Regions from separate parts of the Mus musculus genome. Here all the other regions are reported to be linked to region 3. Evidence: microRNA targets listed by miRTarBase, many of them from high-throughput screens and not tested one by one. Region 3 holds a microRNA gene; each other region holds the end of a gene's coding sequence.
What was found. Region 3 holds the annotated microRNA mmu-miR-1a-3p (UGGAAUGUAAAGAAGUAUGUAU, at 2,236-2,257, shown strand). A microRNA usually pairs through its seed, bases 2 to 8, with sites in the 3' UTR of a target mRNA and lowers its output. Matches are read on the target gene's strand: a 7mer-m8 pairs with bases 2 to 8, a 7mer-A1 pairs with bases 2 to 7 and ends in A, and an 8mer does both.

Region 1 (3,000 bases), not on the chromosome of region 3:
TAGTCTGCATACAACTAGGCAAATTATTTCTTAAAAATTTTGGTTCTATAAACTATTGCGGTTTTAAATTGTTTTCTAATATAATGGCAATAGGTTCCTTTTCAAACTGGATCAGTATTACTTTCTGTTCAAACATCGTCCCAGTTTTTGCTACTTTTCTGTTGGCATACGTGAATCAGAGCAGCCCTGCTTCAGTGAGGCCTGCGTCCCAGCCCCAGTGGGAAGGGCCTCACACTCTACGTGGCCACTGTATTTTTGTCAGAGGATGGTTGCTGGGTAATTTCATTGTCTTTGCAGTAAAACACCTTTTAAAATAAGCACAATCAGGCTGCTTGCTTTGCTCTCTATTCCTGTCAACAAAAAGGATTTATCCATAGATTTAGTTCCTCTTGTCTTTTCCCTTTTATTTTAATAGCTTTTTCTGTTTATCCTTTTCAGACGCCTCCTTGGCATTATAACAAAAAAAGATATCCTCCGTCATATGGCCCAGACGGCAAACCAAGACCCCGCTTCAATAATGTTCAACTGAGTCCTGTAGATGAGGACAGAGAGGAGACAGAAGAGGAAGTTCGTTTGTTGAATAGCACAATTCTTTAATCTGCGGGACTCGTCCACTTTTTTCTTCTTTCAAAAAAAAAAAAAAAAGGAAATACAAGGCGAGCTTTGCAACCCGGTTTGCAAATAATGCTGGGAGAGCAGAGGGATTGTTTGGGGAGGGAGAAGGGAAAGAGTGAGGTATTTCCCTAGCTACCTGGAACAGTAATTCATCTCATGTTGCTCTGCACCTCACTGGCTGCACTCCCTGAGGAGTGCAGTGGGAGTGCAGGCTTGAGCCTCCGCGGAGCCGTCCGTCTGTCCCTGGGATCCTCGAGCGTCTGGCGGTTCCCTCAGCACCACAGAGACGCATTACAGTCCCTACTTCTGGAGGGACTACTTTGAATTGAGCCATCTATTAAGACTGCAAGGTCTTGCCCTTTTATACCAGAACTGTTGTGTTAAACTCATGAATTGTATAGTTACGCATCACCTTTCTACATTCCAAAAGAGCTTCTCTGTCCTCCCTCCCCCTTCCTCTGGAGCTGTAACGAAACCTCTCTGGTGTGTCCTTTTGAAGCAGTCCTTTCTCATATTGAGATGTACTGTGATTTTACTGACGTTTCATCACAAGAAGGGAATGTTTCTTGTGCCATTAACCATGTAGTCTGTACCATCACTAAAGGCTTGGGAATGTGTGCACACACCACTGCTGGCCAAGCAGGGAAAATCTGGAGGTGTGAATGCAATCTCCCAGCTTGTGTGCTGTGTGGTTCAGAATCTAAAACAAACTTGACTCTAATCAGTTTTATTTTTTCCTCTCAGACTTTATGGATAATGTGACCTAGTCTTATGCAAATTTTCTATTTCTGAGATGACTACTATGACAGAGAAGTGCTGTTCAGCATAACGAAAGCAAGCGCTGCTGCCGTGACTGTAAAGAGGAGGAAGGAGTCTGTTTAGCTGTACCTGGTATTAATTGCATGTTAAACACTGGAATTTTGTTCTTCAAATTAGATCATTCTTTTATTTCAGGATGTTTCACTGCTGACACTGGAGATGAACTGTAATTCATAACTTGCACTAAATGTATATTTCTTTTCTTAAAAATTTACCATTTTTATTTATATTTTTATGGATTAAAATTTATAAAATGCAGATCAGTTAATATTGCACATAAATAATTTTACCTTTTTAATGTGACTTTTTTTAATAGACTAATTCTGACTTACAAATATGGAGGTATGAGTAAAGATTACCATGGGCACAAGGGTTTAAGAAGAGGTAGTCATGTCCGTGACCCAGAGTACACATGATACCTTCTGATTTCTCACTGCCATCTCCTGGCCTATGCCCTTTGACCTGTCCATCTTGACCACAAACTAGAAAGTTGAAAATACCATAAATTACTAGTACTAGATTAAAGCCAAACTTTTTTTTTTTTTTAAGAAAAATCAATCAAAAATGAAAACAAGAAAATCACAGTGTGGTTATAACCTTTGAATCACTGGGTAGGTCACAGCCATCCCTGAAGTGTTCTGTGATGATTTCAGTAGATATGGTGCACGTTTTACAGATTAGTTATAATGTACCTCAGAGTATAAGGAGTTGTTATTGGCAGTGTTTTAATCATGGTCTTAATTTCCAACTGGCAAAGGGTGTTTACTCACTAGACTGCCCAGCTAGTCTTCAAGTATGCATTTTTCAAAGGCCAAATGCATTTGTGCAGACAGATATTTTCTGAAACAACTGGCATGAGCCATTTTTAATAAATATGAAATCACATTAGGTCTGTATGATCTTGAAGACTTAGAAAATCAGGAAGCCATATTCGAGTGATCCAAAGTTCCCCAAAATTGCTGTCTGCCAGTGATATTTTGTCTTTTTACTCCTGATGGCAGATTTCAATATTCCTCGTTGCTCTTTGGCTAAATAGAGTGGACTCATTTTTAATGGTAGTTCTGTAGCTCTGAAAGTATTCTTGCAGTATGGAAGACACTGCTGGGGTAGGAACTCTTCAGCACTGCTGATTGGTGGCTCAGCCCCTTCTGAGTTCCAGGTCTTCAAAGGAGACGCCAGTTTCTTTGTAGTTTAACGCGATGAAACTGAACATGATTTTTTTTCCCCCACATTTCCTTTTCTTTCATATTCTGGTTTCATGACCCATCTTCAGAGACTGACATTTCAGGATCCATATTAAAGCATTCATTTTCTTTGTTACATTTCTCTATCTGATGTGTCTTACTGCTGAAACACATGAAAAGTGACGTGTTTTTAATGCGTTCAGAGGTTTGGAGTTTGTTTTTTCTTTCTTTTGGGTATTACTATCTGTTCTGTTTTTCTCTTTTCATAAAGGTTTGGTTGATTTCCAACCAAATAAGATAGTGGATACCATGAACTACATGTGCCTAGCTAATTGGCAAACTTATTGACCAATATACTAAGTGCAGCGCCTCATTTGAGTAC
Region 2 (3,138 bases), not on the chromosome of region 3:
GGTTTTTTTTATTATTATTATTATATTTTTACTTTCTTGAAAGGAGAGAGGGTGGGGCATGCAGTAGAATTTGCTCTCTGGCCTCTCCCTTTTTTTTAAGAAAAAAAAGGGGGGTGGCTAATTCTTCCTTCTAGCAATGGCTTCAGCAGCCCGTTCTCTTTCCCTTTACAGGCGAGAAACCTTACCACTGTGACTGGGACGGCTGTGGGTGGAAATTCGCCCGCTCCGATGAACTGACCAGGCACTACCGCAAACACACAGGGCACCGGCCCTTTCAGTGCCAGAAGTGTGACAGGGCCTTTTCCAGGTCGGACCACCTTGCCTTACACATGAAGAGGCACTTTTAAATCCCACGTAGTGGATGTGACCCACACTGCCAGGAGAGAGAGTTCAGTATTTTTTTTTCTAACCTTTCACACTGTCTTCCCACGAGGGGAGGAGCCCAGCTGGCAAGCGCTACAATCATGGTCAAGTTCCCAGCAAGTCAGCTTGTGAATGGATAATCAGGAGAAAGGAAGAGTTCAAGAGACAAAACAGAAATACTAAAAACAAACAAACAAAAAAACAAACAAAAAAAACAAGAAAAAAAAATCACAGAACAGATGGGGTCTGATACTGGATGGATCTTCTATCATTCCAATACCAAATCCAACTTGAACATGCCCGGACTTACAAAATGCCAAGGGGTGACTGGAAGTTTGTGGATATCAGGGTATACACTAAATCAGTGAGCTTGGGGGGAGGGAAGACCAGGATTCCCTTGAATTGTGTTTCGATGATGCAATACACACGTAAAGATCACCTTGTATGCTCTTTGCCTTCTTAAAAAAAAAAAAAGCCATTATTGTGTCGGAGGAAGAGGAAGCGATTCAGGTACAGAACATGTTCTAACAGCCTAAATGATGGTGCTTGGTGAGTCGTGGTTCTAAAGGTACCAAACGGGGGAGCCAAAGTTCTCCAACTGCTGCATACTTTTGACAAGGAAAATCTAGTTTTGTCTTCCGATCTACATTGATGACCTAAGCCAGGTAAATAAGCCTGGTTTATTTCTGTAACATTTTTATGCAGACAGTCTGTTATGCACTGTGGTTTCAGATGTGCAATAATTTGTACAATGGTTTATTCCCAAGTATGCCTTTAAGCAGAACAAATGTGTTTTTCTATATAGTTCCTTGCCTTAATAAATATGTAATATAAATTTAAGCAAACTTCTATTTTGTATATTTGTAAACTACAAAGTAAAAAAAAATGAACATTTTGTGGAGTTTGTATTTTGCATACTCAAGGTGAGAAATAAGTTTTAAATAAACCTATAATATTTTATCTGAACGACAATCTCTTTGTTTTTTTTTTTCGAAACTGGAAAAGAACTTTTTAACGGGGGGGGGGGGGGGGCCACTGGTGAGAACCACACTGTGAAGCCAACCTTACCTTAGCAAGAGGATGTAGGCAACTTGCTTTTTTAGACTACTCAGTTTTACATGAAGTAGTGTTGGAGTTGAGAGCTGTACGGATGGGACCTTAAAAAACATCTGGTTCATGTTTGTTTAGTACGAATGCAGAAGTATACCTCCTTACCCAAACGCACATTTCCAGGTAGGTGGCTCAGTTATTCTTTGATCTGCTCAATTTTAGCAGGGAGCACTAAACAGTAGGCCAGAACACTCTAGTTTCATACATTTATATTTATACACATAGACACATACACACACAAACGTGTGTGTATATGTACATGTTACATTTTGTCTTTAAATGAAATTATGAATCATTTTCTGTGCAGGCCTGGCCTTGTAGTCCCCACAGAATCTAAGTAACAAAAGAACCTTCCCCAGGCAAACAACCCTAAGAACAGAATGTAGTTCCACAGTGCCCTCCTGAGGATTAAGGGCTTCATTTATGCTGCATATATTATCCCTAAAGAGATCCAAAATATACTATCTACAGAGTATCTCAAAGCTTCCTGAATGTCTCTGAAGGCATGGAAACAATTTAAAAATTACTCAAACCCTGAAGGACAGGACTGTGTAGCCCAGTGGTGGGGTGCAACTGAGCAAAACCCTGGAGAGGTAGCCACCTCTCCAGGTTGAAGCAAAACTATTTTTAGCTGTCACAAAATGGAAAAGTCTGTGTGATACTTGTAGACATGTTAATGGTGGTGTGGGTGACTCAGAAGATGAAAGGAGCAGAAGCTGACTGGCTTATTCTTTAGAGTGCTTATTAACCATCCATTGTACCTAGTGCCTGGAGTTGTATTTACACCGTATTATGCTTTATAAATGGAATTTAGAAACGTAGATTCACAAGGAGCTCATGGGAGATCGGCAAAGTAGTTTCTTTGACTTTTAAGAGGCCAGTGTGATTGAAACCACAGCATGTGTCTTTGCTTAAAAGGAAACAGGTGCATCAGGAAGATGGAATTTTATGTGGTCAAGAATATATTCAAAGCAAAGCTAATGACATGGAAAAATGTTCATGGTATGTTAAGTGGAGAAGGCAGGATATAACACAATAAACAGCGAGACTCCAATTGTATACTTGAGTTTGGGCTTGTCTCCTGTCACCCAGGCTGGCTCAATCCTAACTCTGTTGCTGAGAATGGCCTTGAACTGGTCACCTTGCCTCTCCCTCCCAAACTCCTGGGTTATGGGCATGCTCTAGCAAACCTGGCTGTGTTTTGTTTCCTGTTTGGTTTTGTCCTTGCTTTTTGTTGTTTGTTTGTTTAAGTAGGTTTGCTTATTGTAGCTCCAGGCAAGCCTGGAGCTCCTTGCAACTCAACTGTCCTTTTAACCCAGGGACTCTCTTGCCCCGGCCTCCCCAGTGCTGTATGTATATATGCTCACTGTCATATGTGGCTTGGGTATGTGTGTTGAGGAGCAGAAAAAACAATAGGAAATAAAAAGATTGGAAAGAAACACGAAAAAGTGAATAGTAGTTTGCTTGGCTTCAAATTTCAGTCCAAATGGATTTGAGAACCAAATACTACCCCTCCCCATCAATTTGCAAACACTCACAAATAATAAGTACAGGAAAATTGCTTTTCTAAGAATAAAAGTAAAATACACCTGGGCTTTTTTTTTTAAAGAATTTAACCTATGTAAAATAAAACTGCAGTATGCTTAATGACTTTTTCTTTGTAAT
Region 3 (3,138 bases):
GTGTGTGTGTGAGGGGGGGGGGGGCTCAGGATAAGGCCCCACCCCAGATGCCAGAGGGGTCTACTTGGAGGTGACTGACACCACTTTCCTGTCAAGGTGGGAAACTTTTTGAGAAGTGACTCTCATTCATTCCTGAATGAGCAGCTCCTGAAGATGTGGGCTCAGACTGAATCAATCTCTGCTCTTCAGGTCCCCCCAACTTTCTGTTTGACATACAGACGCTATCATGAACACCTGGGAGTTGGGACAGAGGGCAGAGAGGCATTTGTTCTTAGAGTTCTCAGGGAGCCTAAGTGGGAGCTCAGTCACACCAGGGGTACCTCCAGAAGCTGGAAGCTGAGGCTGATGGACTGGCTGCCCTTTTTATCCTTGGCTATGTGGAAATGAAATTTTAACAGCAACCACATGGGAAATGGGCACAGTTTCTGTCCCTCGCTCATTCCTGCTGCACAAGCTTCTCTCAGTATCCTAATCCTCTTTCCACCCTGCCTAGCTACAGCTGCCACAACCAGGGGACCTCTACATGCTGCAGGCTCTGCAGAGACAGGGCCCTCCCAGGAATGGGAGAGTCTGGATGCTCTCTGGGGTGTTTCCACACAGGGACAGGGCTGGTCAGGTCATGCCAGAGACAGACATTGTCCTGCTGACACGGAAGAACTGAATGTTCTTTCAGGAGCTGGGACTGCCCTGCAGCCCCACACCAGGTCCAAGCCCAGCCAGACCCTCTGTGCCTGCACCACCTCTCCTGCAGTGGGTGTCTCCAGCTCTTTCTGTAGGTAGCCGCCTGCAGGGACACCTGTTCCAGGGTTCCAGCACTTTACCTGCAGGCTCACCTTGGGTGATGGTGAGTCCCCAGGCATGTGAGTCTCTTCCTCCTTTTCTCCCTCCTCCTCTTCCTCCCCCCCCCTCCAGACCACTGCTTTCTTCTTCCCCTTCTTTCTCTCAGTCTGAGGATAGCCTCCCTTTTGCTGCTGAGGCTCTGACCTGGAAGTCCTGCCCATCTTTCTGTTTTTCACATTCCTTTCTTCCTCACTCTGGGTGTAGAAGTTGGTAGGGCAGAAGGGAGCCTCCACTTCACTTGCGGCGAGATCTCAAAAATCAAGAGGAGAGACAAAATATAACTAAGTTTCCCAAGCATTTCCCTTGAACTTTTTTTTTTTCAAATTAGCCTATAGTTTTTTTTTTTTGTTGTTTTTTTTTTTTCAGAAGTTGGTACAGCAAACAGGCGGACAGCCCCTTTGTGTAGCTACAAACTACTATTGATCAGGGACTGATGGATCAGGAACTAGGTGAGGGACAGGGCCCTTCAGAAATAGCCTCCAGATTTCCATGGGAGCGGTTCCTTACGACCATCTTACATGGTTATGCTGCATAGCAGGGGATGGCGTTGGAGACTGTAGGTCACCAGGAGGACAGAGGGTACAGAAGCGAGAAGAGGGAAGGGGACCAAAGAAGGAGGTAGCTGGAATAGAAACTCCCTCATTGGCTTGGCATCAACTCTCAGGCCAGACTGAGCCCCAAAGAGCTGGCCAAGGAGTAGGTCACCTCTTAGTAGCCCCTAGACACTGTGAATTCAAGATCACTATCTTTCTTCTTCACTTCAAAGAAAGAGGCACTGAGACCTTCTCTCGGGGACTCTCATTTTGGGAAACAATTCATCAGGGTCCTGCCAGGGGAGCCATCGCCTGTCCAGGTAAGCCCTTTGATTCATTTCTGGAGACTCACAAAACTGCTTGTTTTCATCTGTCCTCAGGGAGCTGGGCTGTTCAAGTCCCCAGGAAAAGGATGTGACTGGTTCTTAGTCTGGGGTACGGGTCCCTGATGGCTCGTGGGTGGAGCTGCTCCTGAATTCTGTCTCCTTACCCCACCCTCACTGTCCTTGGTGGTGACAAGGTGGGCAGGAAGGAGAGAGAAGATGTTAGTAGAGTTGGATGCTATTTCTTAGAGTCTGGGATGTGACTTCCCTCTGTTGGGAAGAATGGGAAAGAACTCATTCCGTTGAGGGAGGTGTAAGCAACGGTGGGGATGAAAAGGGTTTTGAGACTTTTCAGCACGCCCTGTCTGCTTCCAGTCTTTACCAAGTGTGCATGTGTGAGAGAGACTGAGACACAGGCGACACCAAAAGGGGGCCAGCTTGTGGAGGGCCACTTCCTCGGAGTCCTGTTCTTGTGCACACTGAACCTACCTGCTTGGGACACATACTTCTTTATATGCCCATATGAACCTGCTAAGCTATGGAATGTAAAGAAGTATGTATTTCAGGCTAGGAACTCTCTCGCCAGACTGAGGGGTGGCCCATGCCCTGTGGGTGGCTGCTCGGGAAAGGCAATGGACCGATGGACCGGCAGGGCCTCGGGAGGCCGACTGTAAGGGTACCGGCTGTGTCCCTGTCCCTGTTGGCATTGTTCTGCCACTTTGCCTGTGTCAGCAGGTGGAAGTGCTCGTCAGACATTAAATATTCAGTGTGCTGACTGCGGCAGAGGGAGGAGGCCCTCTGGCAGGCCTGGGGTCCCGAGCGGGGCCAGCAGGGTTGGGGGTCTGGAAGCTTGGCTTGGGAATGGAGTTGTACTGATCCTTGCTGTGCTCTGAAGGAGGCCTCTCCAGCAGAAAGGGTGTGGGGACCGGGCAGGGACTGCTCAGACCACTGGGAGAGGCAGCAAGTTCTAAAAGGTGGTGCTTGGTGGTGGTGGTGGTGGTGGTGGTGGTGGTGGTGGTGGTGGGGCATGAAGGGAGGGGAGAGACTTTGGTAGTCACGTGGTAAAGGCTTTTGAGGGATGAGTCTCCTGCTGGCCTCTGGCTCACAGGGCCTGGTGGGGAGGGGAGGTGGAGAGCCCTGCGCAGACACTGCTGCCCACTGTGTGCTGATTGTATCTGCTCACTGACAATCTCAGTGTCAGCTCTACTCATGGCTATCCTGGCCACCCATGGTGATTCAGATAAAGGGAGCCCAGGGTCTGAAGCTGTCCCAGTCTGGATGGAGGAGTTGGCTCTGGGGACCTGGGTACAGCAGCTCATCCAGGGACCCCGGGGGGGGGGTGGGGGGAATAGGTTATTTCGTTCGGCCGACCCTGGGCCCATTCCTTCCCTGGCTGCCCCCATCAGAGCCTCAGCATCATTCCTTCACACTCTCTCACCAAA
Region 4 (3,138 bases), not on the chromosome of region 3:
CACCGTCATCGCCTCCCCTGTTGATGTGGTCAAGACGAGATACATGAACTCTGCCTTGGGCCAGTACCACAGCGCAGGTCACTGTGCCCTTACCATGCTCCGGAAGGAGGGACCCCGCGCCTTCTACAAGGGGTGAGCCTCAGATCCCCTCACAGAACTCCAGAGAAGTGAGATGCAGCCAAATGTCAGACAGCCCATAGTTGCTGTCACCTCTGTTTTTTAGAAGTTAAAATGAGCATTCAGACTGGGGGTTGGGGATGGGTGGGTCAGTGGTGGAGGGCTTGCTTAGCATGCTTGGAGACCCTGGGTTCTGCTCCCCAGCACAGCAGGAGTAGGGAGCTGGGTACTCGGGATTCTTGGGCATGTGGCCATGGGTTGGGTGGATGGATGAGCCCAGTGGTTAGAAGCAGGTGGTGGAGGGACCTCCATGACTTGTGTTTGCTCTCTCTAGGTTCATGCCTTCCTTTCTCCGCTTGGGATCCTGGAACGTAGTGATGTTTGTCACCTATGAGCAGCTCAAAAGAGCCCTAATGGCTGCCTACCAATCTCGGGAGGCACCTTTCTGAGCCTCTCCATGCTGACCTGGACCCTGCTTCCCAGCCCTGCCCTGTCTTTTTCTTCATCCTCTGCCCAGTCCCATTCTCTTCCCATTTCCTGCACCCCGATTTACTTCCCACCTCACCTCCCTGTGCCTCTGTACTGATGACTCACAGTGAGGAGGCCTGACACCAGACCCTGAGCCCTCAGCCCTTTCTACAGCTAAGCCCACATCTTCATCTTCATCCCCAGCCCAGCCCAGCCCAGCTCAGCCAGCCTTCACCCATAAAGCAAGCTCAATGTTGGTGTCTTCTTTCTCATATGTTTACAGAGGTCTTGGTCCAAGGGACCTTTTCAGGACCTTGGCAGGCAGGTGAGGACCCCAGTGTCTTTAAAAAGGGATGTGACCCACATTCTGCCTGTAACATCTGAGAGGGGCTGGAGGGTCTTCCAGTCTGTTCCTCCAGACCCAGTGTTGGCTCCAGAGATCAGTGGCACAGCCAGGGGACACTGCAGCCTTTGTCCCTCCTACCCTTTCCTGAACACCATGTAAGCTGTCACTCAGTACCTGGTACTCCCACCCACACTGGCCAGGCCTGTCTATCTGCAGAGTGGAAGTATCCCTGCCCCTCCCACATCAACTTGTTAGGAGATGTAGGGAAACTCCAGAACCTTCCATTTTGGGGGGGAGCTTACTTTACTCTGTTTTACACATAGCAACCCACCTCCTGAGGCCATAGACCTACAGAAGACAAGGCAGGCTGGCCTCAGCTATAATCACACCCTGAGACATGCTCTGAACCGGGGGTGGGTGGGGACAGGGCAGGTCTGACCCATTGAAGGGGGCTCAGGCTCCCTAGCCAAGATCTAGCCTGTAGGGGTGTTGTTGTTGTTTCAAACGGGGCTTCACACTAGCACACTGGCCTGGAACTCGCTGTGTAGTCTAGAACTCATGACAATTCTGCCTGAGTTTCTCAAGGCTGGGATTACAGCCACCTGTAGCACCCGACCTCTGAAGAGCCTTTCTGATGGAAGCCTTACCTTTTCCCCCAAGACTGGGGACCAGTCAACGCTTAGATTGTCAGGGTGTTTCAGTCAGTCCTCTTTCCCGCCAGCTCTCCTCAGCCAGGAGAGGGAGGCAGGACCACTCAAGGAGCAGGAACCACCGGTGAGGTCCCTCCCAGAGCAGGGCGGGGCCTGTCAAGTCTCCACGACCCATTTTATACATTTCAGACATCTCCTACGGGTCACCATCGAACGCCAAGGCAAGACACACAGTGCTGGGTCCTTGGGGGATTGTCTGGCAGCTGTGAAACTGGGCCCAGACAATAGGATGTCCTCTCGGCCTAAAGTGATGGCTTCTGCCCCTTCACCTCTTTAGCAGAATGGGTCAGAGCTAAAAAGTTAGACCTTCCCAGTGCTTGGCAAGAGGCCAGGCTGTTCGATTGGCTCCCAGAGAAGAGCACCAGTTCTCCTCAGCTTCTGGTAAATCCAGCCCCGGTCTCGGTCCTGAGGCAGCAGCAAGCCGCAGTGAGGGTTGGCCGGCGTGCAGCTGGTGCTTCAGCACACAAGGGCACAGCAAATGAGGATCTGGTCATTGTGTTAGGTCCTTCAAGGGACAGTTTACTACCAACAGCTGACAAACAGGTCAAGAGAGGGCACAGTGTGTCCAATAGCTCCTTCACTAGACATGTGATATAGGTGTGAGACCACTAGACTCCATGACTAGGAATGCTGTCAGTTGGCCTGAGGAAGGGGCAGCAGTCTTTAGAAAACAGCATAGCAGAGACCTTAGCAATGCTTCCAGAGGGATGCACCAGACGCCCTGCTTTGCCTTCTAAGGCAGCCCAGTTACTGGCTGCCTTAGAAGTTACAGGGATCTCATAAAGGGCATGGTGGAGGCCTGAGGCCAAGCTTCCCACAGAGCCCTCCAGGACAGAAGTCCTAGTTCCCCAACCTCTCTACAGAACTGGAGGGTCACCCTCAGAGCAGGAGGTTACAGTCACCTTCGTGTCAGTCCTGCCACAGGGCAGTGAACACTCCACCGTCTGGTCCCACAGGTCTGTAATGAAGGGGTTGAAGTCTTTGCTGTAAAAACTAGAGCCTGGCAGTGGAGTCTCCCCTTTAATCCCAGCAGTGGGGGAGGTGGGGGCAGACTCTGTGAGTTCAAGGTCAGCCAGGGCTACACAAAGAAATCCTGTCTCAAACAAAAACAAAGATGGATCCTGAGGGCTGGAAAGATGGCTTGGCAGTCAAGAACACTAGCAACTCTGGCAAAGGTCCTAGGTTCCAGACCCAGGGCCCACACTATAGCTCACAACCATCTGTTTAACTCGAGTTCCAGGAGTTCTGGCCTCCGAGGGCACTGCAAGCATGTGTATGGCACAGTAACATGCAGGCAAAACAACTTTATTCCACAAAAAGGACCTAGAGAAATGAAGTGACTTGCCCAGGAATCTGACCGAAGGCCCACATTTGACTGTTAAAATGAGATGCTTCCTGGCTGGAGCCCCAGCCCCAGAGTCTTTATCTCCAGGTGTTTTTTGGGTTTGGTTGTTTTTGAGACAGAGGCTCTCTGTGTAGCCCTGGCTATCCTGGAGC

Region 1: the mRNA of Clcn3 is a reported target of mmu-miR-1a-3p. Seed matches in the 3' UTR shown: 8mer at 1,034-1,041.
Region 2: miRTarBase lists Klf4 as a target of mmu-miR-1a-3p. Seed matches in the 3' UTR shown: 7mer-A1 at 633-639.
Region 4: miRTarBase lists Ucp2 as a target of mmu-miR-1a-3p. The part of its 3' UTR that is shown has no 7-base or 8-base seed match.

The regions. Positions count from the first base shown.
Region 1 is chr8:60,910,614-60,913,613 of GRCm38, reverse strand. It overlaps Clcn3 (chloride channel, voltage-sensitive 3), which reads left to right. Exons shown (of 13, transcript NM_173873.1): 13 at 439-3,000. The coding sequence ends at 529. Among named protein-coding and RNA genes, the nearest start is that of Hpf1, 22 kb to the right of the region's middle.
Region 2 is chr4:55,525,334-55,528,471 of GRCm38, reverse strand. It overlaps Klf4 (Kruppel-like factor 4 (gut)), which reads left to right. Exons shown (of 5, transcript NM_010637.3): 5 at 172-1,335. The coding sequence ends at 347. Among named protein-coding and RNA genes, the nearest start is that of Klf4, 5.6 kb to the left of the region's middle.
Region 3 is chr2:180,386,861-180,389,998 of GRCm38, forward strand. Mir1a-1 (microRNA 1a-1) reads left to right here and starts at 2,188; the gene lies at 2,188-2,264. Mir1a-1hg (Mir1a-1 and Mir133a-2 host gene) reads left to right here. Exons shown (of 4, transcript NR_045331.1): 2 at 674-844; 3 at 1,607-1,693.
Region 4 is chr7:100,498,785-100,501,922 of GRCm38, forward strand. Ucp2 (uncoupling protein 2 (mitochondrial, proton carrier)) reads left to right here. Exons shown (of 8, transcript NM_011671.5): 7 at 1-132; 8 at 452-845. The coding sequence ends at 566. Among named protein-coding and RNA genes, the nearest start is that of Ucp2, 7.0 kb to the left of the region's middle.